Linked DNA regions of Daphnia pulex. The main gene of each other region encodes a partner of the protein of the gene in region 7 in a complex. Links are inferred from orthologs where the notes say so. Each region holds a gene or a part of one and is shown on either strand. Other genes may lie near its edges.

Region 1 (3,648 bases), on a different chromosome or scaffold from region 7:
AAATAAACGAATGTTAAAACAACACTTAAACTCGATAAAAAATTTCAAGTCAAGCATATAACAAACAAGAAAGCCGTCAGCCAACGCCATTGAATGAGTGAAACTGGTGAAACAAATAAAAAGTACAGCGACTCGCACGCTCTTCATCTTACATAACCTGTTCCAAGAACAACTGAATTACCTGCTAGCTGTTTTTTAAGAAGTAATGCTGACTGCAATTCGGACATAATGAAATCAAAACGTAAATTTGTTGAGAGGAACTTGAGAAGTCTTCTCTCAAGTTGAGAAGTCTTTCCAAGCACGTTGCTTGCTTCGTCCTAGCCTTTGACGTTGCCAAATCTCCTTCCTTCCTCTAGAGCTCGCGCGTTGTTGGCCAATCAATTTAATCACGGCCAGGTCACGGACCAATCTCCGTCAATGCCGTCAATGCATGTTTTATAAATTTTAATTTTTTTTAAATTGCACTCCTAAAATAAACATTGATTCAATAAACCCAGAAATAAATTATCACGATGTATTTTCTTGTGAACATTACTCGATATAAAACATCACAATTTGACATTATTAATCTAAAGACATGGCAGATGTCTTTGTTTTTTTTTGTATAATAATTGATGGAAGGGCAAGCGAGATGAAAATGTTCAAATGACGATACATAATTCATGAAAGACAACGAATCACTTGATCTTGTAGTTTAGAACTGGTGCAAATGTCAATGTCTCCACCGGATCCGCCGACGAATAGCAACTAATATAACAATCCAAAGATTATATTTGTTTTTCATTTCATTATCATAATATTTTTTTACTTTATTTGCATCCTTTTTCTGGAGGCAAATACTGTAGACTCTAAGGGGACTTGTAGGCATTTTGACGGTAATATCTCCCGAAAATAAGCTAAAAATAATTGACCCAGCTCACACATTAGTGTCAAGGGGGAAATTTAAATTTTTAAAAATTACCATTGGTATACAAACGGTCCATCTACGCCGACGATTATATTGTCTTCGTGAAACATAACGTTGTTAACACCATGGACGTCTTCTTCGAGTAATACTCTACTCATTGTCAAAGATCGTAAATGATAAAGTCCTAAGTGCGGGCCTCCTCCACACACCTATGATATGCGACAAATAACAACTGTAGTGATTTCTCATCGATTAGATTACTTCCTTAAACAAGACTTACCAACCAATCTTCATTCATAGCAACAGCACCAACCCATTTTCCCAGATGGGGTCGATTCAGTTTAGACTCCAAATGTGGTGTAATTACGTGATTAGGTTTTGATTTTCGAGTATCCCAGATGCATACTGTTCCGTCTTCACTTGCACTTGATAGCTGATTCCCACTATCACACAATAAAAAGTAATTAATGTTTTTATGCAATAACTTGAATTGTAACTACATCTACATACACCAGGGACATTGAGTGAATGAAATCAGTATGACCAGAGAAGGTTTGTTTAACTTTCCCATATTCAAGATCTACATGATGAATATTGTTGTCTCCACAAGCAACAAAAGTTGAGTTTTCACCGTTAATCATGCAATCTACAGTTTCTTTAGTGCCAAAGTCACTATAAAATTACATAAAACCAACAGTTAATTATGATAAATGTAATAATCAGAATATTCTAATATGGTTACGTTGGCAAGCGAAGATCAACTTTCCAGCAAGGTTTCACCTTCTCATCACTATTCTGTGGAAGCACCAATTGATTCCAGCTAAATGCCTCAATACAGTTCTTGCCTCCAACGAGTAAGTTATCATTTAAAGATGTTATAGCTTGCAAAGGTTTGGTACTGACAGAAAAGCATTTCTGTGGTAATGTGAGGCTTTCACGTGGACCCTGTTCATCTTCGGCATACAAACTTTTGATACTAGGAAGAGATACATGTTAATAAAATTTTTTTTTTCAGTAATATTATTTTAAGAATAAATTCAATACTTAAATATGTTGACATTCCCAAAATTGGTTCCAGCAGCTAGAAATTCCTCACAAGGAGATAGGGCTTGAGAGAGGACAGTCACGTAAAACGATTTTATGTTAGGCATATTTTCGCACTTTAATCACTGCTTTAACAGTTTAGTTATTCGTGAAGTCGGAGAATTTGTAACTCAGTAAATTTAACTTTTAATTTGAAAATCAAAACAAGAATATACACCGGCAAAGTTTGATTTTTGTGGCGCTCTGGGTCTCCATGCGGAAGCGTCTGCTACGATATCTACTAATTTGCGGAAATCCGAGAAAGGTTTTTCAGTTTCAGCCATTACCCGGGAAATTCAACTGAGAAATAAGCCAAAAACAAATAGAAATGTGAACTACGACTTGGTTTCATTGGTTCGATGAAGATCTAAACCGATTTAAAGCGCTGTTGAATGATGTTTCAAAAATTTTAACTGTAGTTATTTAATGTGGTCAACTTCAGATTTGAAAAGACCAAAATAATAAGATCAAGGACACTCTCAGATATAATGAATATCATCAATGAGTTGTCATACACTGAACGCAACTTACTTATTCCCATTATTCCCTACACGTCACTTCCCTTGGGCCTTGAATCGAAACCGATATCCCTTCAGCTTTTTGTAGTTTAATCTTATTTGCTTAGATTAACTAGATCTGATTTCCCATGAAATCAGCTATTGGAATCAGACATGATACCGTATCTAGACTTGTGTGAAAACACTCCCCCAAATTTGTTATAGACTTGCCTTTTTGATTATTTTCGAGATGTTGACTTTGACACAGAACAACCAGACCAATTTTAAAAAAGTGAAATGTTTCAAATAAAAAAATATATAATAAAATGTGATAGCCAAGATACGTGTTTTGGTCACACCTGAGACGTAGCGGCGCAGCAGTGTGTTAAGTTTTCTTCAGGAAAACCTTGACTGCAGTTTATATCCCCCCGCGGATCGCATAATTTACGAGTTTATAAACTTGTGGAGTGATTACTGAATAACCTGTAATAATTCAGGCCGCCGTGAATACATAAGGCTGTTATTAACGGGATAAGCCGCCGGGAGCAAAATACAGCGCTAGGGCAACAGCACGTAGTGCATTCAGTAAACATCAGAGGGCCTGCAAGAAGAAATACCAGGAAAGGAAACCTGCTTTCCTCTCTGATAATAATATTGCTAGAATCCAAAAAATCTAATGGCCTTAGCCTACATTCGTTCGCTTGCCTTCTTGATGTGTGAACCACCCAACAGATCGGTCGCATCGCACTGCTATTCTCGTTCAGACTGGGCACTTATAAAGCGAAATCACAGTGGAACAACACGAACTGACGTAGTGGAACTATTAGGTCGAGTTAAAACCCAACAAACAGCCAACACCATGTTTTGACAATTGAAAGTGTCAAAACGATCAAAAAGTTTAACTCTTAACTCGAAAAGTTCCAGTTGAGCCGCGCAATCTAACATACGGATCTCGGGACTTTCTTTCTTTCTACTATTCCGAGAGGAAAATTTCTCTTTTCTCTCGGTCATGGACCTTACACAACTAAGCCCAGAGAAACGAAACTTATTCGACCAGGTATTTAAAATCGTCTTTTTTAATTGTAATAATAGACGAAGGTTAAATTTTCGCCAGTATTGAAATTTCGCCACGCTGAACGCGGATAGTGTATTAATCAAAGA
Region 2 (3,941 bases), on a different chromosome or scaffold from region 7:
CAATTGTTACTAGCCAATGCAGAGAGTAAATAACCCAAGATAATTACATTAAAGGCTTGACAAAGAGTTATTGTAGCCAGCAAATAAAAAACAAATCGACAAAGTTTTTGGCAATCATCCTTCTTCTATTCGTTCACAGGGACGATTTGAACAGAGAAAACAACTTCTTCTCATTAAAGGCTCTCAAAGCGATCGCCATCTACATGTTTAATTACAATAGAATAAGGCCTAAGGATTCGCGTTTCTTGCTTCAGCTTACGTGCCGCGTCATCTTTCGTTGATGACGTCCTGCAGTCCAAATGACACAGATAAATTGGTTTGAAATAAGTAAAATTTTATATCTTTTATCTGGTGTTTTATAATGCTACTAATAATTTCCTTTTAATTTATTCTTATTTGAGATGATCAAAGGCGAAATAGGATTTTAAAAAGTGCCACAAACGGCGGTTCCCTGCAGTAAAGAATCGATATCTCTAATCCTCTATGCCTTTTCCTGGTGCACTTCAGGAAGTAGACATAAAATCAGAGCTCGTAAGCAAACAGAGGTAGTTCAAATATAGAGACTAGAACAAGGTTATGAAATCTCGGTAGATAGTGCAGTCGATACTGTAGTTGTAATATGGCAGGCAATACCTGCCGATTTTCATAGGAAATCAAATGATAAAAGTAATACGAATGGAAGTTGAAAACATTCGAGTATTTGAATGCGCTTAAATATTGTTTAGTAGTGAAATGAGTAGCATTGGAATGCTATTGAAAATATTGAGTTCAAAAAGGCTACTTATTGTCGATTACATTAAACATGAGAAATGTCTTAAAATTAGGTAGTTTTTATATGGGAATTTTATCTTTATTAAACTCGGTGCAGTCCCGCGTTAGATGATTTTTCAAAAAAGGACTCTCTTTTGTAGAACACCATTTTTATTGATCCGTCGACTCGCCATCTAGGGGATGATAATCGAGTAACATTTTTGTATGAAAACGTCAAAACGGTAATCTCAGTCAAAACATATTCTTTGAACAGATAAATTATTTGATTATCACCGATTACTTATTAGTTAAACTTGAATGGTTTGACATTTACTTCTTTCCAGAATTTCCGCTTTCCGGGATTCGGAAAAAAAAATCAAGTTGATTTTAGAATGGCAACATTGCAATTTACAAACTTGGCAACGCAACCAAGTTTTGAAGCGTCGTCTGATCGTTTCGAAAACACGACTATTTTTATGTTTCTTACTTTGTAAAAAAACCACTGAAATGGAAATATTTGATTTTGAGAAAACTCGGTGTTCGTTTCTGGTACAGTAAAAAAATCTATCAATGAGCCATATTTGAAATAAATTGAAAAATCTTATGTCTTCTGTGTTTGGTTTCTGTAGGATTCCATTTCTGAAGCTCTTAAACTGGGTGGTCCACCCACTATCAGTGAATTACTTTCAGTTAACAATACAGCTCATCTTGGGTAAATTTAATCAAAGCAGAAAGTATTTACATATTATTGTAATTAAACATATTTATTGTAGGGAAGCTGATAAAAAAGCTGTATGGGATCAGGCGTTTAGAGACAGATTTTTGAGTGATTCCTCAAACTTTTCCATACCATTGTTTGAAAAGTTGTTGCAGTTGAGTCTGGATTGTGCAGTAGCTCTAGTATGTTCTCCAACACTGCCTGTGATTTTGCTCACAGATGCTTTTGACATCCTGTCTCTGGAAAAATGTGAGGAAATTTTCTACATGGTTGAAATGAAAGTAGCGATTTGGAAACAAGAGCTTTTCTTCAATCAGTGTAAAAATACCTTACTTCGCCTTTGCAATGGTATGTAAAGACATTTTTCCAAAATTCTAATAATGTATGACACAAATATTTATGTAACTGGATGCATCTAATTCTGTATTGATATGAATTCAATCCATTACTCTTATTTCAATGTATACCACTCTGCTAAATTCATTTACAGTGTTTCGCTTTATGTGAGTTGTGTTGCTGAAATGAATTTTATATGTATATTTTTTTTCAGATCTGCTGAGGCGCTTGTCCCGAAGCCAGAACACGGTTTTCTGTGGTCGAATTCTTCTATTTCTTGCAAAATTTTTCCCATTCTCTGAACGATCCGGACTTAACGTAGTAAGCGAATTTAATTTGGATAATTTGACGACATTTGGAGCTAAAGATGAAAGCTACGCTGCTGATATATCTGCTAATTCTGAAAAGCACAAGGATGCAATGGAAGTAGAAGAAAGGTATATATATTTGATTGACAAGTTATTGCAATATTTTTCTAAATTTTCTTGTTTTGTAGTTTGAGCTCCGACTACAATCTGTACAAAAAATTTTGGTCCCTACAAGATTTCTTTCGAAACCCTAATCAGTGCTATACGAAAATCCCGTGGAAAACGTTTTGTTTGGTAGCTAAAACATCAAGTATTTCAAGTTAAAATTTTCCATCTAACAGAAAAACAATTATTCTTTAGCATACTAGTGATGTTTTGTCTGCATTTTCTACTATCAAACTGGATGAGCGGAGAAACCGCTCTAAATGGGATGAGGCAGATGTGGCATTAAACATCGATATGAATGAAACCAGCATGAATGGTGGAAATGTCCAACAATATTTCGCCAAATATTTGACGAGTCAAAATCTTCTCGAACTTCAGCTCGGTGACTCCAACTTCAGACGTTACATTCTGCTGCAGTTTCTGATTATGTTCCAATATCTGGATTCACCTGTCAAGTTTAAACAGTTAGTTTCAATAAGTTTCATTAGTTAGACTATTTCAACCGCTTGAATTGCTTCTATTTATAGCGAAACTCACAAGCTCAACGAAGAACAAACTACGTGGGTTTCCGAGGCTATCGATCAAGTCTATCGGTTATTGAAAGATACACCTCCAGATGGCGCTTCTTTCGTCCAATCTATTCGACACATACTAAAGGTATACTGAGTTGTATAAAAGTAGTTTTAAAAAATATCATCCATCGGTGTTTGTTGGATGTAGCGGGAAGAATTATGGAGCAACTGGAAGAACGATGGCTGCCCGGAATTCCGGCCCAGCATAACCAGCTCAACCACTGATAATGATACTATAAAAGATGGTACCAATGGAGAAAAAAAGACGATCGTAGTTGGCCGACCAAGACGGCTCAAAAGAAGTCTTGGAGATCAGATTCGAGAAGCTTCAAAAAGAAATAAGTGCATTATTGGAAAGTAGGTAAATTATGAAATTATTTGAAAACATTGAATTACAGCTTTTTCTCTTTAGCGCTGAGATGAATCGTTTGTGGAATCTATGTCCTGATAACATGGCTGCCTGTCGATCTAAAGATCGAGATTTTCTACCTACATTAGAAAACTATTTTGAGGAAGCCATTGAGCAACTGGATCCTTCAGTGGAAAGCCAGTACAAGTAAAAATTTGCACTTTAAAGCTTACATTTTTCCGAAAATGTTTTAACTGAATGAGCGATTTTCGTGTTTCCAGGCGAGTTAGTGAGGCTAATTTTGGGTGGCGTGCTTTGCGGCTTTTGGCTAGACGAAGTTTACATTTCTTCACTCATGGTAATACTCCTATCACTCGGCTGCCAGATTACTTGGAAACGCACGTTCGCAAACTGGCCAAGGACATGCAGGTAGAGTAAAATCAGATGAATATCACGGTTCCCATTCTGCAATACAGGGAAAAGTCAGGGATTTAGGTTCTCATTTGGGAATATATATATATATTTTTTTTTAATATTTTGAGGTATTTTGAATTTTGTTATCGAGACTCATAACTTTTGCACGGGTTTTGCTGTTAAACAAAGATTTTGAAATAGTTGATCCAGAAGAAATACAGACGAGTTTGTTAGGTGTCAGGTAATTTTTCACATTCATTTGTCTGGAAATCCCTGGATAATCTTGATATATTACTGGTTTTGTAGTTGGCTTATTCAAATAATATGAT
Region 3 (3,232 bases), on a different chromosome or scaffold from region 7:
CAGACCAGCACGAGTCCAATTTGTCCCAGGGTCAGACATCTAATGAAATTACAACAGTGGAAGAAGTCAACGCCGAAATGAACCTCATACTTCACCCCCGAGCCGGAATTCTACTCCACAGTAATACCTGATTAAATTAAATATAGTTATGAATTAATAGTAACAAAACATTTGTAACGAAAACAGGTTTCCAATTCTCTAAACCAACCAAGTTTAACAGCGAAGCCGCAGCCTTCGCTCAACCATCACGAATTCCTTACCGTGGAAGTTCAATTCCAATCATCGACAGCATCAACGAGGCTGCAGTAGCTCAGCAACTACGTCAAGCAATCCGCCGTACACTTCGCAGCTCATAATAAGCACTTCACAATCTTTATAAACATGACTTTGTTAAAAAAAAAATTTGTAGTTTTTCCAATACACTCAATTTGATACAATTGGACGTTACTAGATCTTTTGGCTTCTACACATCTCGGGAATCACAAATAAAAAAACAATGGTTTTTCGCTGAAAGCTTCATTTTTTTTTGTCTTAAAACCAGGTCTGACAGGTTTGTCTTTCAAAACACTGAATTTGTATGAAAAGAACGAAAGAAAAAACATTATTGAAAAAGTGGTGGTGGTGAGGAGAATAAGTAAAGGTGATCAGGAGTTTGCGTCAGTGATTCAACCTCTGATCCACCACGTGTGGACTCAAAGAAATCAAATAATTTGGTGAACATTACACGATTGCGTTATTTCAATTCACTCCTGTATGACTCCAACTCGGCATCAAGCTCATCTGCTGTCGGTGCAGGCTGTTTGGGATTGCGTTGGCGAGCACCACCAGCACCACCTCGCTGACCACGCTGGCCTCCTCCTCCTCCTCCTCTCTGGCCTCTGTTGGAAGCTGGTGCACCAGTCCTCTTTTGTTGCGGCCCGTTGTTAGTGTTAGCTCGAGGGCTGGTTAGTCGGTTGGCGATTGTGTTCAAATCGGAAGTAGCCATCTGAATGACCATTGATCGACCATCCAATGGGACTCCGTTGTACTGTTTCATTGCCTATGGAAAAGAAACAAATATTGATGCTGTGTGTCCTACAGTTGACAAGTTTCATGAAGTTTACCTTGACGGCATCAAGACGGCGCTCAAACACAACATCAGCTGTACCGAGAGATCTGCCTGATCTGTCATAATGCACAGAAGCATGTTTCAATGGTCCAAATTCCATAAAAAGTTCCTATAAATAGAATTATTCAATACATGTTCATCATGACAGAGAAGCAATATATGTTATACCTTAATGTCTGCATCTGACACACCAAAGTCTAAGTTAGAAACAACAAGCTTGGAAGAGCCGCCTCCAGCAGCATTCGGTGCAGCACCCAACCTGGGATTGCTTTTCCTTGGTCCACCTTCATACATGTCATGAGACCAGTCACCATCTGGGTTGCCCTAAAAATAACATACACAAAGAGTCAGCACTATTGCATCACGAAGACTGTAAGATACAGACTAGCTTGGATTTGAAATAGACGAACAAGTCAACCAAGGATTATGCAATACTTTCTGATAGAACATAAAAAAACAAGAAGAATAACTTAACAAATATTTACCTTGGCGTAAGGTGCAGCACGACCCCCAGCATTTCCCTGTCTTTGATTACGAACGGGTCCTGAGCCGGCATTACGGTTGCCTCCACGAGAACTGCCACCACGACCGCCGCGTCCTCCACGGCCCCGGCCGGCTGAACGGCTAGTTTTGATGATATCATCCAAGCTCATGTCAACTTTGTCGCCCATTTTGATAACAATAAGTTTGTGGAGGACTTGACAAAATTAAGGACTATCAATTTAAAAACGAAACACAAGTTTAAGAAAGATTCAATAAGAACGAAACAAATGGATGATGGTGACAGGGACGGTACGACAATGACGCCACGCTCAATCTCTATGCCAAGTTAACGAATATGAGCCTAAGCAAACTCTCAATGGCGCCCATATTGCCCGTTTGCCAGTTTCAAAAACAAGAAACATAAATAATTTAATACTCCTTTTATTCTAAGTGATTTATTTTTCAAATAATAAATTTAAATTTATTTGATTCAATTTTACAAATAAAAAACAGTTTAGTTTCAAATTAAGTTTTTAACCGACGTGGTTGCCAAGCCCGGTGTTTTGATTCTGCTTTTCAACCCTCTAGATGACAACACGTGTTTAAAGTTAAAAGTTAGTGCCTGTAAATTTTAATTAGGCCCCATAATATCCCGATTATCAAGAAATATCTAATGAATTTGCGATTTGCATTGTTAAATGTTGTAGTTGTTACTGTACGTAGTTTTCATTCTAATCAAAAGGTATTCGGCGATATAAAAAATAAAAATCGTGTGTTAAATTTACTCGCCAACATGCCGAAAGATACGAGTCATGTCGCACGTCTTCAATCAGAAAGACAGGCAAAGAAGATTACTAAAACAAAATACCCACCAGGAACCGTAACATTACAAGTTCTGGGTTCTGGTGTCCGTGGTGCACCACGGTCCCTCTATATGTTCACCGATCAATCATGGTAACATTTTAAATTAAAGCAAAAGTATTTTAGTCTAATTCCTGTTTGCTTTTAGTTATCTCTTCAATTCCGGAGAAGGATCTCAACGCTTGGCCCATGAGCACAAGTTTAAGCTGTCCAAAGTTGAGAACATTTTCTTCACCCGTACATCTTGGCAAAATGTGGGTGGATTACCTGGAATTTCATTAACAATTCAAGATGTTGGTGTTCCCAATATCACACTCCATGGACCACCTGGATTGGTAAACAAATAACATCTAAGCACACATTTTAATGCAGATCCAATAATATCATAATCTAATTTTAATAGGGTGAATTATTTACTGCTGCCTCCAGATTCATCATATTAAAGAATTTACAAGTCAATCATGTGGATGCTACTTCACCTGCATCATCTTATGAAGATGCTGCCATGAAATTAAATTATGTAACTATTATGCCCAATGATGATGCAAAATTACCACGTTCAGCTTCTAGTTCTCCTATCGAAGAGGAGGATGTGACCAATTATTATTGTCGAGAAAAAGGAAATCCTGGTGAGTTATCAGTGGTTACAAATTATTAGAATCGAAATGTAAACAAAATTAATTTTCTTAGAGGACGTTCCAGCTGCTAAAAGGACTCGTGTTGAAGATGAAAGTGACGAGAACCCGAAATCCAAAGCCGTTCTAGCTTATGTATGCCGTT
Region 4 (3,405 bases), on a different chromosome or scaffold from region 7:
ATGTATCGATAAATATAGGATTTCAGAAACAACTCGATTGGATTCAGTCGTCTTTATTGACGGCCTGTGCAGCACGTTTGGGCATTTACTCCGACCACGAATTCCGTCATCCAATTACCTGTTTGAGCTTGAAATTGAATACGCCATGCCCGATAGTCCCTTGGACGGAAGCGGAAGCCTCCGCATTGAGTTCGAAACCCTTTCGCTTTTTTCTGCGTCAACTGGGTCTTTTCCCTTCGCTTCCTAACGCTGGCACCTATCCAAGGATCCCACTCGAATGGTCACCAGACACTCTGTACAATGTTGCTCTTTCGTTGGGTTCCGTTGCCCATCAGCAAGTTGATTTCGACTTGAGTTGTGTAGGAAAATTGTAGCTTATCCATTTAATTTAGCTTCGATCGGTCCCGCTTGATTACTGCTGGCCAATCATTAGAGTAATTTGTTGTAATTTTGTCTATGATCAGCGACGATTAAATGAAGGAACAAAAATCAAATTAGTGTTGAGGTTAATCATTTGTATTTTTTGGGATGAGTTTCTCTTTCTCGTTTCACAGGCACACCTTTTCACACTCAAGTCCTCGGATGAAATATGAATGAATTATAAAAAGATACATGTGCTAAGTGCGCCGTAACAGGAGGGAAAAGCAAGAAACACACGGCAAAAAGGGACTCCAAAAACTGGGGGAAAGTACAAGAACCATTTAATCAAGTGCTAGAATGAAATCAAGACAAGGTTGTCCAAAATCTCTTTTTTCTGTCTAGACTCTTCACAACAGTCCAACCATTTTCTCAAAGACAAATTCTGAATTGGATTCACTTTTAACTTTAAGGACTAAAACATTGTTAATAGTCAATCAAGACTTGGCGAAGGGGAGTTATTAGTAAGAAGGTTCTTTCGTTTGAAGTTGGGGAGCAGCACAGGTGAGGTAACGACTGGAGAAAGATTATTGCATATTTAATTCATTTCAACGTCCCCAATTTTAGACATGTAGGATTCAATATCATTGTCTAGAGCGCTACGAGTCTTTTGCATGTACTGATCCAATTGCTTGTCCAAATCTTCTTTGCTGACCTTGGTAGAGCCACCTCGACCACGCCCTCGACCACGTCCGGATGTCTGACCGCGCGGAGATGTCGGCAAGCTGCTTCCTCCACGACTGGGTCCCTTACCACCACGTTGGCCTCGTCCTCTTCCTCTTCCACGCTGGATACGACTTTCAGCTTGCCCGGTAATCAATGAAGATGTCATCTGCCCTCGACCACCTCGTCTTCCTCTCACGCTGCCTCTAGCACGCGAAGGTTTGGTCGGCGAACGATTGGTTGTGGCAGCAACGGGGGCTGGCTTTTTCGATGGAGAAATGATTCTTCCGCGAGTGCTTCTCTTGTTTCCTTGTCCACCGCCACGAACGATTGTTTGGCTGACAATGGGCTTCAGTCCGCCCCGGCCTCGAATTATCTTTGTTGGGGTGACCGTTTGCCCTTGCGTTCGACTTCCTCGCAGAGATCCTCGCGACTGACTCCCGCGACCAGCTCCACGATTGGTTGTGAGTCTCCTTTGAGTTTGGGTGGCCGTTCCGCGAAATCGAGTACTGGTGTTTACTGTGGCTCCAAGGCGTTGTTTGATGCTTTTCTGAATAACAGTATAAATGATGTAAGTATATCTGGTTATGAATTAAAAACGAGGAATTGCACCTTTTTCAGTTTCAAAGCAGCACTGACTGATGCATTTCGTCTTTCCATCTGTTGAGCTAGTCTGCTATTCTTGCTTGATGCCTTTTGAAGATTAGCTGCATTATTTCTAGCCCCTTGCAGTTTTCCAGCCAATTTCTGACCCCCTGCTGAGCTTCGTAATTTGGAGAATCTGTAACGAAAAATTTTCATGCGTTAAAAATCAGCAAATGAGAAGAAAATCAACACATACTTTATAAAAGCAAGGAAATTCAATGTTTAACAGGGGGAAAATTGCGGCAAACAACTATTTCAATCGCATATACGACATAACAAACCCAAATTGCCTAATGATTTATACCTTTCATGTAAGGATAAGGAAGTTGAATTATTTGGTACTCTGCCTCCTGAAGCCATTTTGTGCTAGAATACTGCTGAACCAAAGTTCAATTACGGTCAAGAAAATGCCGAAAACAGATAATTTCGAGCTATCTAGAAATGTTTCTCGTGAAGTCAATGAAAACAATTGCTGATGTTTGCCCGGCTGTGAACTAATGACGCTCAACTTTTTTCGACTGCTATTGGGTAGTAAAGTGACACCTAGCGGAAAAAAGAAAGTATGTCGTGATTTACGATTGAGTAAGAGTGCATGTTTTAAAAAATGTGGGTGGAGGAAATGTTTTATGGGTGTAGAATCATGTCAATAATTAAATATACTAGATAATACAGAAAGTGAAAGAATTGGAAATCTGTATTTATTTGAAATCAATGTATTCATTCTGTAAAACAAAATCAGATGACAAGCAGAAATGAATCTTTGTTTTTTTATCGTATGAGATGGTCAATAGTGTTTTATAAAAAGAAATTAGGCGGCCACTACTGTAGGAGTACTGCTTCCGTTTTCCTCAGCTTTAACTGCCGGAACGGCTTTCTCTGGATTGAATGTTGTCCAGCGAGCTTCATCTAGTGCATCCCACAAATCCTGATTGCGCTCAAAAAGTTCTCTGTTCAGTTTCTCAATATCGACGGGTGTATTGTGTTCTATGAGCTCAAACTCATCTTCTTCAGGTTGAGCAGGCATTTGCCCAGCAACGCCATATCCGGCATAAGCTTGTTGACCATCATAGCCGTATCCGCCTTGGTAACCATATCCTTGCCAGCCACCGTACTGTTGCCAATAGGCTGGATCGACGTACTGTCCGTAGCCAGCTGCTGCAGCAGCAGCTTGAGGTTGAACTGGCTGGCCGCTGGCTGCGGCCTGGACAATTGACGAAGCAATCGATGCAGTTAACGTAGAAGTAGAAGATGTACTGGATGAGGATCCTAAAAGTTAAAAGAGTATGAAATGAAATGTACTCCAAAGAAAAGTTTAAGCGTGCATTTACCAGGTATCATGTTGTAATTACGAGGAATAGCCAATGAAACTCTAAGTGGGTTGCTGCCGAGTCCTCTGTGACCTTGCATATGTGTCAGCGCATCTTTGTAATCACTTTCATTAGAAAAATTAACAAACGCATAGCCGCGACTTTCTCCATTGCTGCCTCTGACCACTAAACATAAAATACGAGAAGTTCAGATAATTGCCAATAAAATCATTACAGAAATTTTACAAATTACCCTTTGCCAATTGAACTGAGTTATATTTTGCAGAAAAACATTTGTAAAGGCCATAGTCATCTACATCAGCACTCAAATCTCCCACCCACAGTGCATGATCGGCTGTAGAACCTTTAGTGT
Region 5 (2,877 bases), on a different chromosome or scaffold from region 7:
ACCAAAGGAATTTGCTTCATTCGTACATCTCGCCCCAACACAGCCGTCATCTACGAGAACGAACAAGTTTTCTCTGCTGGAAAGGGTCACGTTGTTCGTAGTCACGATCAAGACGATTTGGTTATCGTTGGCGCCGGCGTTACACTCCACGAAGCGCTGAAGGCGTCCGACATGCTGATGGAAGCCGGCATCAAGGCTGCTGTCATCGATCCATTTACCATCAAACCCATTGATCACGATTTGCTGTTGAAGGAAGCCACTCGTTGCAACGGCCGGGTTTTGACCGTTGAAGACCATTACCCAGAAGGTGGATTGGGTGAGGCTGTTGCTTCAACTCTAGCCGAACAACGAAATATTATCGTCAAGATTTTGGCAGTTCGCGAAGTTCCCCGCTCCGGTCCTCCAGAGGTTCTCCTAGAACATTTTGGAATCGGCGCCAAGGCTATTGCCGAAGCCGCGAAAAAACTTGTTGCGTTGTAAACGCCCTTTTTTTAAGTCACTCATTCCTATACCCATTCCTTACCAGAGGTCTATGGATAGTTGAGAAGAATTGGTGGTGTTTTTTGAAACATTCTTCTATGGCATTCCAAGTCGTATATGTACCGTTTGGATAGTTTATTCATACATAGCTTTTTTGGTGTTTCAAATGATTTTTATTTGTTAGCATTATTATTCAAAAATAGAAAAAAGGGATGCATACAAAATGAACAATTATTAGGATGCTTCATCATCGTTAAGAAGTTGCTGTAATCCTTGGATAGTTGAAATGAGTAAGTGAAATTGTTTGCGTCTTTGTTCTAATTTGGCCTCCAGTTTTTGACATTCACATTCTGAAGCTTCCAGTTCCTGTCGCAATAGGGATAATTTCTCTTGGTTGCTCTTTCGATCAGGCTGTGTTTGAATAATGGCAGCCAAAGCATCATATTCCATTTTATTCCTGCGAATCTGTCTTGCTTCTTGCAACTCCTTCTTGGTTGCTTCAATGTCTTTTTTAGCTGACACAATTCCTTCTTCAATCTGGTTGTAGAGGTCGTCATAGTGCTGCTGTTCTGCAGTGTTCATTTCACAGCACCTCAAGGATTTTGTGGCAGCAAATTCACATTGGGCAATCTGACCAATCATTCTAGCGTAGGATGCTTGTCTGTAAAACAAATAAAAATACATCACATATAGAGTATAGAAGAATTTTATACAAAGATTAATTTACGTTTCTTCAACACTATCTGTAGAGTTGCACCAAGCTAGGAAACCTTTAAGCAATACATTAAGTCTTCTTTCATCACCAGTTCCTTCGCCATCAAACAACAGCCTCCTTCGGATGATCTCTTCTACATAACGAAGTACAAGATGAAAATTAACCGAAATAATATTACTAACAAGTCAAATTACCATCTCCCATTTGTGAATAATGATTGGGATCAAAATAAGACCAATAATAATACAATTTAACTGGTAAAGCTTTGAGAATATTGAGATGTCAAACCGGGCGAAAGAATGAGATGACAAACCTAGGAGAAATGTCGCTGCGGAAACGCCGGAAAGTACTGAAAAATGAAAAAATATTTTCGTCTGCCGTAAGCGTAGTTCGCTCGTCTTTTGTTTTGTTTTTTAAATCCGCCAGCAGACGACACGCCCCTCAAATGAAAGGAAGGAGACATGGCTTTTTAAAAAATCATCCGATTGATTAGGTATCTATTTTGTTTAGGGTTAAACTTGCATGCCTGTATAAACATTAGCAAAACCGAAAGAGAGCTAGTCCAGCAGATCAGCAATATACTTGGGAAACCATTGAACGGTTTAGAATCAATCAGGTGATGTCAAGGAAAGAATCCAATGAAATGCTGGATCTGGAGTGTTGTTTTTCTCGTTTCCAGATTAACGTCAATCTCTTCTTTTTAATTAAACTGTTGCCTTACATTCTAGGAAAACCTGTTTTTATTGTCCTGAAAATTGAGATTGGTGATCAAGATTGACAGATTCATTTTAAACAGGTGTGTAACTGACAGTGAAAAAATAATTTTGGGTGCAAGATACTTACAAACAACATTTATTTGTAAGTATAAAAGGTGCATGTCAATTAATGGTTGTATTTGTCAAGATGTCAGATGGTTGATTGGTTGGTAATATAAAATAACTGAGTTGAGAGAGATTTGGTACCTCAATGGGGAATTTTCACATATGTGTTTATCAGTTGATGTCATTATGATTATGTGCAGCTTGTTCTCATAGTCATACTTGTTGCAGTCCATGTGTGAAAATTGTAAAAAGATACTTAGCGCAAAGAAAAATGTACTTTTTGAGTTCCGCAATGCATAAAATCTTTTGCCAAAATTAAAAAAAAAATAGACGGACGATTGAGGATTTAAATTATTGCTAGAACGTTTCGCTAGAAGATAATTTCATCATTAAATCATCATAAAATTTCATAAATTGCCAACGAATAGAATCAACAACTTTAGTACGCTTACACATTAAGGTCTTCAAGTGGCAAAGAAACGCAACGCATTTTTTAATTCTAGGAAAAATATACAAGTACTATATTAAAGGTAATTTTGAAATAGTCCAATGGGTGTTAATGCCATAGAGTAATTAGAGGAGGCAAGGCATCAAGGGCAGTGGTAGCTGCCGAGCTGCTTTCACTATAGTTGCAACGCTGTTGCAGGTGAGGAAAGAAGACGGAGTCTCGGAGAGGAGAAATTAAGAAAAAATTTTCTGTTAACAAAGATGGCGTCCAACGATGACAGTCCAACAAGTCTTCATGGCCAGCCTTGGTCTGTTTGGGCTGATAGATTAGGCAGAGATAGTCCATTAAGTGAGTAAATTGCCTTATAAGTTGTCTTTTCTTGATAGCTAACGGATATTTTGTGAAAATTGTTT
Region 6 (3,400 bases), on a different chromosome or scaffold from region 7:
CCGAATATCTAGTAAAATCGCGTAGAGAAAAAAATATTATAGCCTATTATTGCAGCATTTGAGTTGTAATATGCTTTTGTAGTACAGGGGACTTACTTACTGTTCCTGTCCCTCATGGTATAGGACCATGCTGTCTCTTTCCAGATTTCTAAAAAAGCGTCCTACACTACATAGTGAGGGTTTTGAACCCACACTTTATTAGTGGCGGGTTGCTTATTACCTTTGCACGATTATTTCCCTTCCAACTTGAATTTTCTACATTAACCTAAACCGCTACTCCCTTCGACTTGCCACTAGCCTAGAACTCCCTCACTAAATTTCATCTCTTTGTTTCATGCTGCTCTTTTCTTTATAAAATCAAGTGAAATTGCGCACCAACATATCAGGTTATTTCAATTACAAACTAGAAACAAAACAACTCCGCCGACCAACCTAACTCGGACCCATGAGAAAATGTGTTTCAAGTATACACCAAATTAGTATTTTTTTTTTTATCGGGATAAGAAATCAGGTCACATTTAATTTTAAAAAACTAAAAATTTTGTGATCGAACCAAGTCTTTGTTTCATTTAACTGTACGTCAATTAATAAACTTTAAAACGAACATTTCAGGCAAGTCCGAAACGTTCAGCACGTTTGCGCTTCTGTTCGTCAGAACTGCCGACCGCAGTGCTCGTAGTTCCGAATCTCTCTGCTCGCTTCTGTTTCTTCTCATCAACTTCGGAATTAGAATTAGAAACGACGCCAAAGCGAGCTTGCCTTTTCAGAAGTTTGTCATTATCAGGAACCTTAAATAAAAATTCACTACATGAAAACACGAAGAACGATGAGCTGATCAATCGAAAATACCTGAGGTTTTGATGTGTTTGATTCTGTGCTATTTGTACCGCCAAATCTTTCTGCTCGAACAGCTTTCTTCACAGAATCGGGAATAGGAACACCAAATTTCTGTGCTCTTAGTTTGGCTCTTTCTTCGGCAGATAAGGAACCAAGTTTAATCACCTTCTTTTCTTCCTTTGAGTCAGATTCATCACCTTTATTGGCATCATATTTAAGGTGGTCGTCATTTTCCTGTGAAACTGTGCCAGAATCTGATGGAGGAGTTACCACCTTTCTGTTCAAGATGATTTTTTTATGGGGAGAAACTATTTCATTCTTCGAGTCCTGAACAGTCCTGAAATATTATTCATTTCATCATTAATCTTGAGGCAATTATTTTCCAAACAAACAGAGTAACTAACTTTTCAACTGTAACTTTGGGGGCACTCAATGCAGTAGGTGTTAAAAGAACTGCATCATCTTCTTGGGCGATCAAATTTGCATTTCCTTCCTCTAAAATAGCTTCTTCATCCTATACCAAAAATAAAATTGCATAAGTTTATCACATTGTATAAAACCAATGTTCTTACTGCTAAAACTGCCTCCTCATCCAAAAGGTCATCATTGTCTAAGGCGCCATTATCTCCAGTATCGTCATCTTAACATCCACGGAAAAAAGCTTGAACATAAACATGGAAACAGTTTAATAATCAAAATGATAAAAGTTTACCTTGCACAGCATCTTGCAGTCTTTCCATCAATTCATTTTTAGTGCCAATGGTGCTGAGGCCTCGTGTTTTTAACTCTTTTTTAAGGTCCACAACCTAGCATGAAAACAACAGTCAAGATGAAATGCACACAGTAGGCCTATCACTAGTTCAAAAACATAATAGACATTTGATTTGACAAACTCAATCAGGATTCTAAGTTGGAAATATTGACAAGTTTCACTCAAATATAAAGTTAAGCGGGTTACTTTTAATTTAGAGATGTCCATGATTGTGATGATAATGATGACGTTTGTCTGTACCGGCGTCTCAAACTTTCAATGAATTACAATTGGAACGCGCAACGCGGTAACTTGAAAGTAATTCGACTTTTGAATGCCAGTGTATTGTTTCAGAGGAGAAATTGCGTATGCTTTTGCTGGCTTCTAAACTAGTGATCTCTATCGGGCGCATCCTGTACTAAAGTAGTGTCACCTATCGTCAATGCAAAAAGTTTGTCCGAGTCATGTTGCCATGTTAGTGTGTTACTAGCCAACAATGAGAAAGAAAACCCTCGAAAAAGTAATCAGCCACGTAGGATAACTCTGGTAGGATTTTGAAAAAAAATAGTGAGAAATTAATTTTAAGCGATGGGTTTCTCGGACAAAAAGGCTACGCATAAAACATTGCAACTACGTTATTTCTGTAATCGCAAATGATCAAACTCATTGTCAAAGTAATTTTTTTTTTTTAATTTAAAGAGCTTGATAAAAACTTCATAAAATATCTTGTGATAAACCAAGTAAAACTGATTGGCTTAACTAACTAGTGTGTGTATTGTAAATCAATGATTTTAAATTTCATCGTAACATCGTAGTGAATTTTGAATTTTTGATTCTTTTCCCGCTCAAAGAACAAGAAAGTGACAAAAAGTAACGTGTTTTAAGACAAGCAAACAGTTCAAGCTGCAATAGTTATATAATGAATGAGACAAATGCTCAAGCCGTGTATTTCGCTTTGACATGAAAATACGTGCGCGCAAAAAGCACTTTCACGACGACGCTCAGCTTCGGACAGTAGGCAATGTTTACGTAGCGAGCGACACATCTCAAAGGAAGAAAAAAACAATGGTCTTTTCGCGTCTTTTTCTTTCTTTTTTAACAAAAAAAAACAAAAAAACAAAAACAAACAACCAATTCGCAGAAACGTGGCTATATTCCGGCAAGGAGTAAAAGGTGGGTAAAAGGAGAACACCAATTGCTGTGGCAATATCCAACTTGTGCGAGGCAATCGATTTCTGTTTTTCTTTTTTCAAGGCACGCACAACTTAACTATATATATCATTTACTGCTGAGGACAATTATGGTTTTACACGTTTCCAATAAGGGATTGGGGGGGGGGGGTTAAACGGCACGACGGTAGTCGATTTGTCTGGTCCCGGGATACTGTTGTAATAAAGGATATACAGTGATGCCCAATGATTTTCTTATGTTTTTTCACTATTCTTGGGACCCAATTTTTAAGCCCATTCTGAAATGGCGTCAAATTTTCTCTTTTTAGCTTATCGGGAATTGTTTTTGTTTTTTCCCCGATAAATACACGTTACACGCAACACTACAGCGATCATCATTCATCAACTTGTAAGCGATTGGTATACAAGCACTTGAAAATACATACACGAATATATCAAATCAGAGAGGCGCGCGTGGCGGCCTATTTCTTTTTGGCAATTAATAATAACGAAACAAAACAGAGGAGAAAAAAAAGACACGTATTTTCAAAATAGATCTTTCGAGACGTTTACGTTTGAACTGATGAGAACTAGACAAAATAGATATTCCAGTTTTTTTTGTTTTGTTTTTTGTTTTTTTAAG
Region 7 (4,210 bases):
AGTGTGTGAGGGCTGTGCGGGTCTATTAGGTTGCGGACTATAAGAAGGTACTGGTGGTCTGGCAATCGGATAACCAATCGGTGCCTTTGGTTGGTTGTAGCCCTTGAAGTGTAGACCGGGAGGTGGGCGAGGCGTTGCAAAAGTAGGAAAATAGAGTCGAGGTTCAACCCGTGATGTGCCGTACGTGTTGGACCATCTTCTCTTTAATCGTATCTGGTTTGTTGGATCCAAGGTAGATGTTGAATTTGAATAATTCTGTTGCCCTTGGAAAATGATAAAAATTTGTTTTATTTTATTGCGTCAGCATCGTTTGTGGGTTTAAATTGGGAAAATTCATTCTTACTGCTCGATTGGTTTTCGGAATCGCTGTTTTTCGGATCGACAAAGGCAGCAGCTGATGTCGAAAATAAAATTGCGGCGACGATGAGAAGAGAATTAAGAGGAGACCACTTGGCGGTTCGACACCGCATCTTGAAATCAAACGGGTCACAGAAAATCACCTCCAGTTATAAAGGTTTGCTTGTTGACAGCCATGGCTTCTGGATGTTCGGTTAAATCACCGTTGTTGACACCTTCTTTGGCCTACATTTTTATATCAATTAAATAAAAAAGGAAAGAGGAATTTTGGAAATACTATACATGTAAGGCGTCAAAGATGTCATCAAGGATGTGACGTATTTGCCAGTCATTGCTCTTTGTTTAAAAAAATGGAATATGTGTGTTACATATTTTAAATGTTCTTTTTATTTTTGACGATTCTTATTGTTTGATTTAAGTCCATGTGAATTCGCCCTATCTTATCCTATTTTATGTCTTTTCTACCGTTTCCCCGTTGTAAATGGTGTCACGACACCGGCAACCCAACAGATTCACGCCCTTCCTGTAGATTTCGTCTCTTAGGAAAGCGTGAATCCGTACCTCTTGTACTTATGTACTTTTTCTTTAATGATTTCTATTCTTTCGAGTTATTTATCATAATTATTTGGATATCGATAAAATTTTTTAAATTGAAAAAAAGGCCAAAATTATTGTTAGTTTTGTCGGAGTTATTATAAAAATAAATCGTTGTTACTCTCCGCATTAAAGTCTGTCTTATAATTGAAGATGCCGTTTCTCATTTAGAAGAATTTCTAGAGAAGGACGGGGAGAAAGAGAAAGTCCCAGTATATACGTATACCCATCTGCACGCACAGCTATATAAGCCGAAACGGCAGGAACGAATTTGTACAAATAGTCCTACTCAACCGGAAGCCAATACGGATCTTTACTAAAACCAAGAAATATTTTTATCGCTCACGTGTTGCTCCGCTAGCAGTCACTACCTGCTGGGTCTGTCATCCTTTTACCTGCGACGCTACATCCATTTGGTCCACCTCCAGTTTATCATTGCTAGAAGTAACAGCTTGAAATGTTTGTTCCTAGATGGCGTTAGCAGCAGCCTCTTTTTCCTCTTCCCCCTATAAAACTAAAATCGAAATATCTTCTTTACTGTAACGTTTAAATAATAAGAATATTTTGTGTAATTCGATTCGCCTTTGAAAACTTCATTAAACCGTATGGCTTAAAAATTGTTCTGACAAATAACCCCCCGACAAGCTTACAGGAATAGGAAAAGATCCCGTCTTTAATTAGAGTACTCCGTGCTAAAGTGGTCGGTAGGCTACTCAGTAGACTCCAGCAAGGCTCTAAGCTTGAGTCCATGTTTATGTTGTCACATATGCCACCAAAGAGTCGCTTCCCCGTTTGTTTGGTATTTGTTCGTTGTCGTTTGAATTCGCTTCTGCAATTTTGAATGGCCTAAGGACTTCTAAAGACAGATACTGCGACGTGTGAAGTGGAAATCACCGAATTCGTCAGTTGTTGCTTAATCGAGGGACACAAATGGCGTCGTTAATTTCGCAAGAAGTATGGAAAACGTGGGAATCACATGGACACGTTGAATTGTAAGACTCAACAATTGTTTTATATCACTGACACTACATTCTTTGACTTCAACAATAGTAATAATATGACATAACTAATTTACTCTTTTTATCTGGTAATCTTTTAGTGTGAAACTGCTGGAAAGCTGGATTGGCACCGATAACAATAGTCAACATATTCCTTCAATTGGGAGTAAAGGTTTGTTGTTATTACATTACATTTCCAAGTATTTTATTTATCTTATGTTTTACTGTTTTTAGATTTGTTTCGTGCTATATATGAGTTCTTGTGGCAAGCCATCAAAGGTGGAATAAAAAGAGAACTAGTTTTATCAACCATTGGAGATATTCTGGTATAGATTTTGATCTTAACACTTTTTATTTGTGATTTTGTCAATTAAATATTTGTAAGTAGGTTTTGCATGGTGATCTAGCATCGTTGACACTAGATGTTCTCAATGTTATTGACCATGAAACGTTGGTTAATGAGAATAATGATGAACGTCAAAAGTTGTGCAGCATGCTAAAAGAACTGGAAAACTGGCTAAGTGATTCAATGATTAAGGAACGCTTAGAGATTGACACATTACAAGATTGCAGTTTACTGAAGACAAAGAAGATATTTTACTCCCGTTTCATCAAAGTAAAGACAAAATTATTTTACAAGCAGCAGAAGTTTAATCTTTTACGGGAGGAGAATGAAGGCTATGCAAAACTAATAACTGAACTCAATCAAGAGATTGATGACACCATCACTCCACTCTACATTTTACAAGTAAACATTTGATTAATATTATTCTCTGACCATGTACCAATATTCCCCTCACTTACACAGGTTGTACAGTCTTTAATTGGTTGCTTCAACTTGGATCCGAATCGGGTGTTAGATGTGATTATGGAATCATTTGAATGTCGGCCGCAGCTTCACAGTCGTCTTTTTGTTCCACTGATTCGCTCGTACATGTCAGATTCGTTGACTTTGTGTGAAGTCTTAGGGTTCAAGTTTACTTCATTCGACCCGTCTTCTACACCAAACTCTCTTTTCGTCATCACTGCTCTTTTATTGCAGCATGGAGTCATTCATCTTGAAGATATTTATCGTTGGCTTACGCCTAAAGATAGCGAAATCGACGAATCCGCCGCTAAAGAATTAGCAGACGCAAAAGAGTATGCTCGTCGAATGAATATCATCGCTGTTCCAAAAGAAGACGACAAAATTGAAGAATTGATTGAAGAAAGGGCACCTTATAATCAGAAATTTGGACTGTGTGAAGCTCTTCTTTCAGTGGGAGCTTGGGAACAAGCGTCTACTCTTCTTAAACGTCACCCAGAGTTTTTCGTCACATCTTATCGACCCATCTCGAGCAGTATCTGCAAACTGGTCGACTACGTAATTGAACCGGTGTATCGCACTCGATGCTGCATATCTCCAAAACTTTCGGGCAAACCAGTTTTATCTGTCGGTGTATGGAACTTCCCCAAGACAGCCAAGGAAATGAAGGAGTTGAGAGAAACTGCTTTCCCCATGCTACTCTCTTTGGGACCCCATTTGTATAACGATCCTGTCCTCCTGCACAAGTTAATCCGTTTGTGCAATACTGCGTTAGATGATTGTGGCTTGAACAGTTCAAAGAAATTTCCGCAAGACCTGGATTCGCTGTACTTTGACGTTCTTACACTGTTTGATGTTGTAATATTGCCATCACTCGCCCTCATGGAATCGAATTGCTGTGTAGCAGAAGAAATCTGGAATGTTTTGAAGAAATTGCCTTATGAGCACCGTTATCGTCTGTATGGCCTGTGGAAGAACGACACGTTTCAGAGCCATTCTTTGCTGATCCGCCGCAAAGTAGACTGCGTTAAACGCATCAAGTACATCATGAAGCGTGTGAGCAAGGATAACGTCAAGCCCACGGGTCGAGTGCTTGGCAAGCTTAGTCACAGCTGCCCTGGCTTTCTTTTTGACTACATTTTGTCCCAAATTCAAATCTACGACAACCTGATTGGCCCTGTTGTGGATTCACTCAAGTACCTCACAAACCTATCGTATGATGTTCTTGGTTATTGCGTTTTGGAAGCACTTTCGAACCCAGACAAGGAGCGCACCAACCATGATGGAACTACCATCTCTATGTGGCTGACGGCTCTTTCCGCCTTTTGTGGAGCCATTTACAAGAAATACAACATAGATTTGACTGGACTTCTCCAATACGTTGCCAATCAACTAAAGGCGCAAAAGAGCCTAGATCTTCTTATTCTTCAGGTACTTATATTGATTTAATATAATA

What was found.
Region 1: THO complex subunit 2-like (region 7) and THO complex subunit 6 homolog share a complex: the UniProt entries of both Homo sapiens proteins name them as parts of the transcription/export (TREX) complex. The link is inferred for Daphnia pulex from reciprocal best matches to the Homo sapiens genes THOC2 and THOC6.
Region 2: the proteins of THO complex subunit 2-like (region 7) and THO complex subunit 1-like are in contact, whole or in part, in a cryo-EM structure (PDB 7ZNL), measured with the Homo sapiens proteins. The link is inferred for Daphnia pulex from reciprocal best matches to the Homo sapiens genes THOC2 and THOC1. Residues at the interface, in NP_001075019.1 of Homo sapiens: Leu155, Phe156, Tyr157, Lys158, Gln160, Asn163, Leu164, Leu165, Arg166, Asn169, Glu170, Ala173, Lys174, Ile176, Ala177, Gly180, Gln181, Asn195, Lys197, Ser198, Leu199, Ile200, Gly201, Cys202, Phe203, Asn204, Leu205, Pro207, Asn208, Arg209; in NP_005122.2 of Homo sapiens: Asn134, Arg138, Asn141, Leu144, Arg145, Lys149, Thr153, Cys156, Gly157, Gln160, Leu161, Ala164, Arg165, Phe167, Gln242, Phe245, Arg246, Tyr297, Ala299, Lys300, Phe301, Arg319, His320, Leu323, Gln324, Ile327, Tyr331, Arg373, Phe374, Lys376.
Region 3: THO complex subunit 2-like (region 7) and THO complex subunit 4-like share a complex: the UniProt entries of both Homo sapiens proteins name them as parts of the transcription/export (TREX) complex. The link is inferred for Daphnia pulex from reciprocal best matches to the Homo sapiens genes THOC2 and ALYREF.
Region 4: THO complex subunit 2-like (region 7) and chromatin target of PRMT1 protein-like share a complex: the UniProt entries of both Homo sapiens proteins name them as parts of the transcription/export (TREX) complex. The link is inferred for Daphnia pulex from reciprocal best matches to the Homo sapiens genes THOC2 and CHTOP.
Region 5: THO complex subunit 2-like (region 7) and THO complex subunit 7 homolog share a complex: the UniProt entries of both Homo sapiens proteins name them as parts of the transcription/export (TREX) complex. The link is inferred for Daphnia pulex from reciprocal best matches to the Homo sapiens genes THOC2 and THOC7.
Region 6: THO complex subunit 2-like (region 7) and SAP domain-containing ribonucleoprotein-like share a complex: the UniProt entries of both Homo sapiens proteins name them as parts of the transcription/export (TREX) complex. The link is inferred for Daphnia pulex from reciprocal best matches to the Homo sapiens genes THOC2 and SARNP.

What each region holds. Positions count from the first base shown.
Region 1 is NC_060027.1:616,916-620,563, reverse strand, and holds THO complex subunit 6 homolog, read right to left. Parts: upstream 2,435-3,648; 5' UTR 2,059-2,434; coding exon 1,952-2,058; intron 1,884-1,951; coding exon 1,650-1,883; intron 1,580-1,649; coding exon 1,418-1,579; intron 1,351-1,417; coding exon 1,188-1,350; intron 1,117-1,187; coding exon 962-1,116; intron 897-961; coding exon 809-896; intron 748-808; coding exon 661-747; 3' UTR 501-660; downstream 1-500. Other genes in the region: ubiquitin-conjugating enzyme E2 G1-like, read right to left, coding at 182-227; SEC14-like protein 2, read left to right, coding at 3,497-3,544. UniProt on the Homo sapiens protein: Component of the THO subcomplex of the TREX complex which is thought to couple mRNA transcription, processing and nuclear export, and which specifically associates with spliced mRNA and not with unspliced pre-mRNA.
Region 2 is NC_060026.1:6,262,967-6,266,907, reverse strand, and holds the start of THO complex subunit 1-like, read left to right. Parts: upstream 1-1,141; 5' UTR 1,142-1,257; coding exon 1,258-1,299; intron 1,300-1,379; coding exon 1,380-1,462; intron 1,463-1,523; coding exon 1,524-1,816; intron 1,817-2,018; coding exon 2,019-2,241; intron 2,242-2,300; coding exon 2,301-2,406; intron 2,407-2,472; coding exon 2,473-2,741; intron 2,742-2,804; coding exon 2,805-2,934; intron 2,935-2,997; coding exon 2,998-3,206; intron 3,207-3,261; coding exon 3,262-3,405; intron 3,406-3,479; coding exon 3,480-3,627; intron 3,628-3,941. UniProt on the Homo sapiens protein: Component of the THO subcomplex of the TREX complex which is thought to couple mRNA transcription, processing and nuclear export, and which specifically associates with spliced mRNA and not with unspliced pre-mRNA.
Region 3 is NC_060025.1:2,695,818-2,699,049, forward strand, and holds THO complex subunit 4-like, read right to left. Parts: upstream 1,988-3,232; 5' UTR 1,780-1,987; coding exon 1,594-1,779; intron 1,433-1,593; coding exon 1,277-1,432; intron 1,218-1,276; coding exon 1,104-1,217; intron 1,040-1,103; coding exon 734-1,039; 3' UTR 501-733; downstream 1-500. Other genes in the region: uncharacterized protein LOC124203100, read left to right, coding at 1-120, 187-356; ribonuclease Z, mitochondrial-like, read left to right, coding at 2,265-2,545, 2,601-2,787, 2,856-3,081, 3,143-3,232. UniProt on the Homo sapiens protein: Functions as an mRNA export adapter; component of the transcription/export (TREX) complex which is thought to couple mRNA transcription, processing and nuclear export, and specifically associates with spliced mRNA and not with unspliced pre-mRNA.
Region 4 is NC_060027.1:3,847,523-3,850,927, forward strand, and holds chromatin target of PRMT1 protein-like, read right to left. Parts: upstream 2,242-3,405; 5' UTR 2,086-2,241; coding exon 2,030-2,085; intron 1,862-2,029; coding exon 1,693-1,861; intron 1,631-1,692; coding exon 956-1,630; 3' UTR 501-955; downstream 1-500. Other genes in the region: protein timeless-like, read left to right, coding at 19-374; tRNA selenocysteine 1-associated protein 1-like, read right to left, coding at 2,534-2,991, 3,054-3,218, 3,286-3,405. UniProt on the Homo sapiens protein: Plays an important role in the ligand-dependent activation of estrogen receptor target genes. May play a role in the silencing of fetal globin genes.
Region 5 is NC_060023.1:12,053,787-12,056,663, forward strand, and holds THO complex subunit 7 homolog, read right to left. Parts: upstream 1,547-2,877; 5' UTR 1,400-1,546; coding exon 1,390-1,399; intron 1,329-1,389; coding exon 1,208-1,328; intron 1,142-1,207; coding exon 715-1,141; 3' UTR 501-714; downstream 1-500. Other genes in the region: transketolase-like, read left to right, coding at 1-480; ataxin-7-like protein 1, read left to right, coding at 2,725-2,812. UniProt on the Homo sapiens protein: Component of the THO subcomplex of the TREX complex which is thought to couple mRNA transcription, processing and nuclear export, and which specifically associates with spliced mRNA and not with unspliced pre-mRNA.
Region 6 is NC_060024.1:915,590-918,989, forward strand, and holds SAP domain-containing ribonucleoprotein-like, read right to left. Parts: upstream 1,954-3,400; 5' UTR 1,817-1,953; coding exon 1,796-1,816; intron 1,644-1,795; coding exon 1,550-1,643; intron 1,478-1,549; coding exon 1,410-1,477; intron 1,352-1,409; coding exon 1,242-1,351; intron 1,175-1,241; coding exon 850-1,174; intron 789-849; coding exon 609-788; 3' UTR 501-608; downstream 1-500. UniProt on the Homo sapiens protein: Binds both single-stranded and double-stranded DNA with higher affinity for the single-stranded form. Specifically binds to scaffold/matrix attachment region DNA. Also binds single-stranded RNA. Enhances RNA unwinding activity of DDX39A.
Region 7 is NC_060017.1:3,792,197-3,796,406, forward strand, and holds the start of THO complex subunit 2-like, read left to right. Parts: upstream 1-1,410; 5' UTR 1,411-1,881; coding exon 1,882-1,943; intron 1,944-2,050; coding exon 2,051-2,121; intron 2,122-2,183; coding exon 2,184-2,275; intron 2,276-2,337; coding exon 2,338-2,697; intron 2,698-2,757; coding exon 2,758-4,185; intron 4,186-4,210. Other genes in the region: uncharacterized protein LOC124205981, read right to left, coding at 1-263, 344-470. UniProt on the Homo sapiens protein: Component of the THO subcomplex of the TREX complex which is thought to couple mRNA transcription, processing and nuclear export, and which specifically associates with spliced mRNA and not with unspliced pre-mRNA.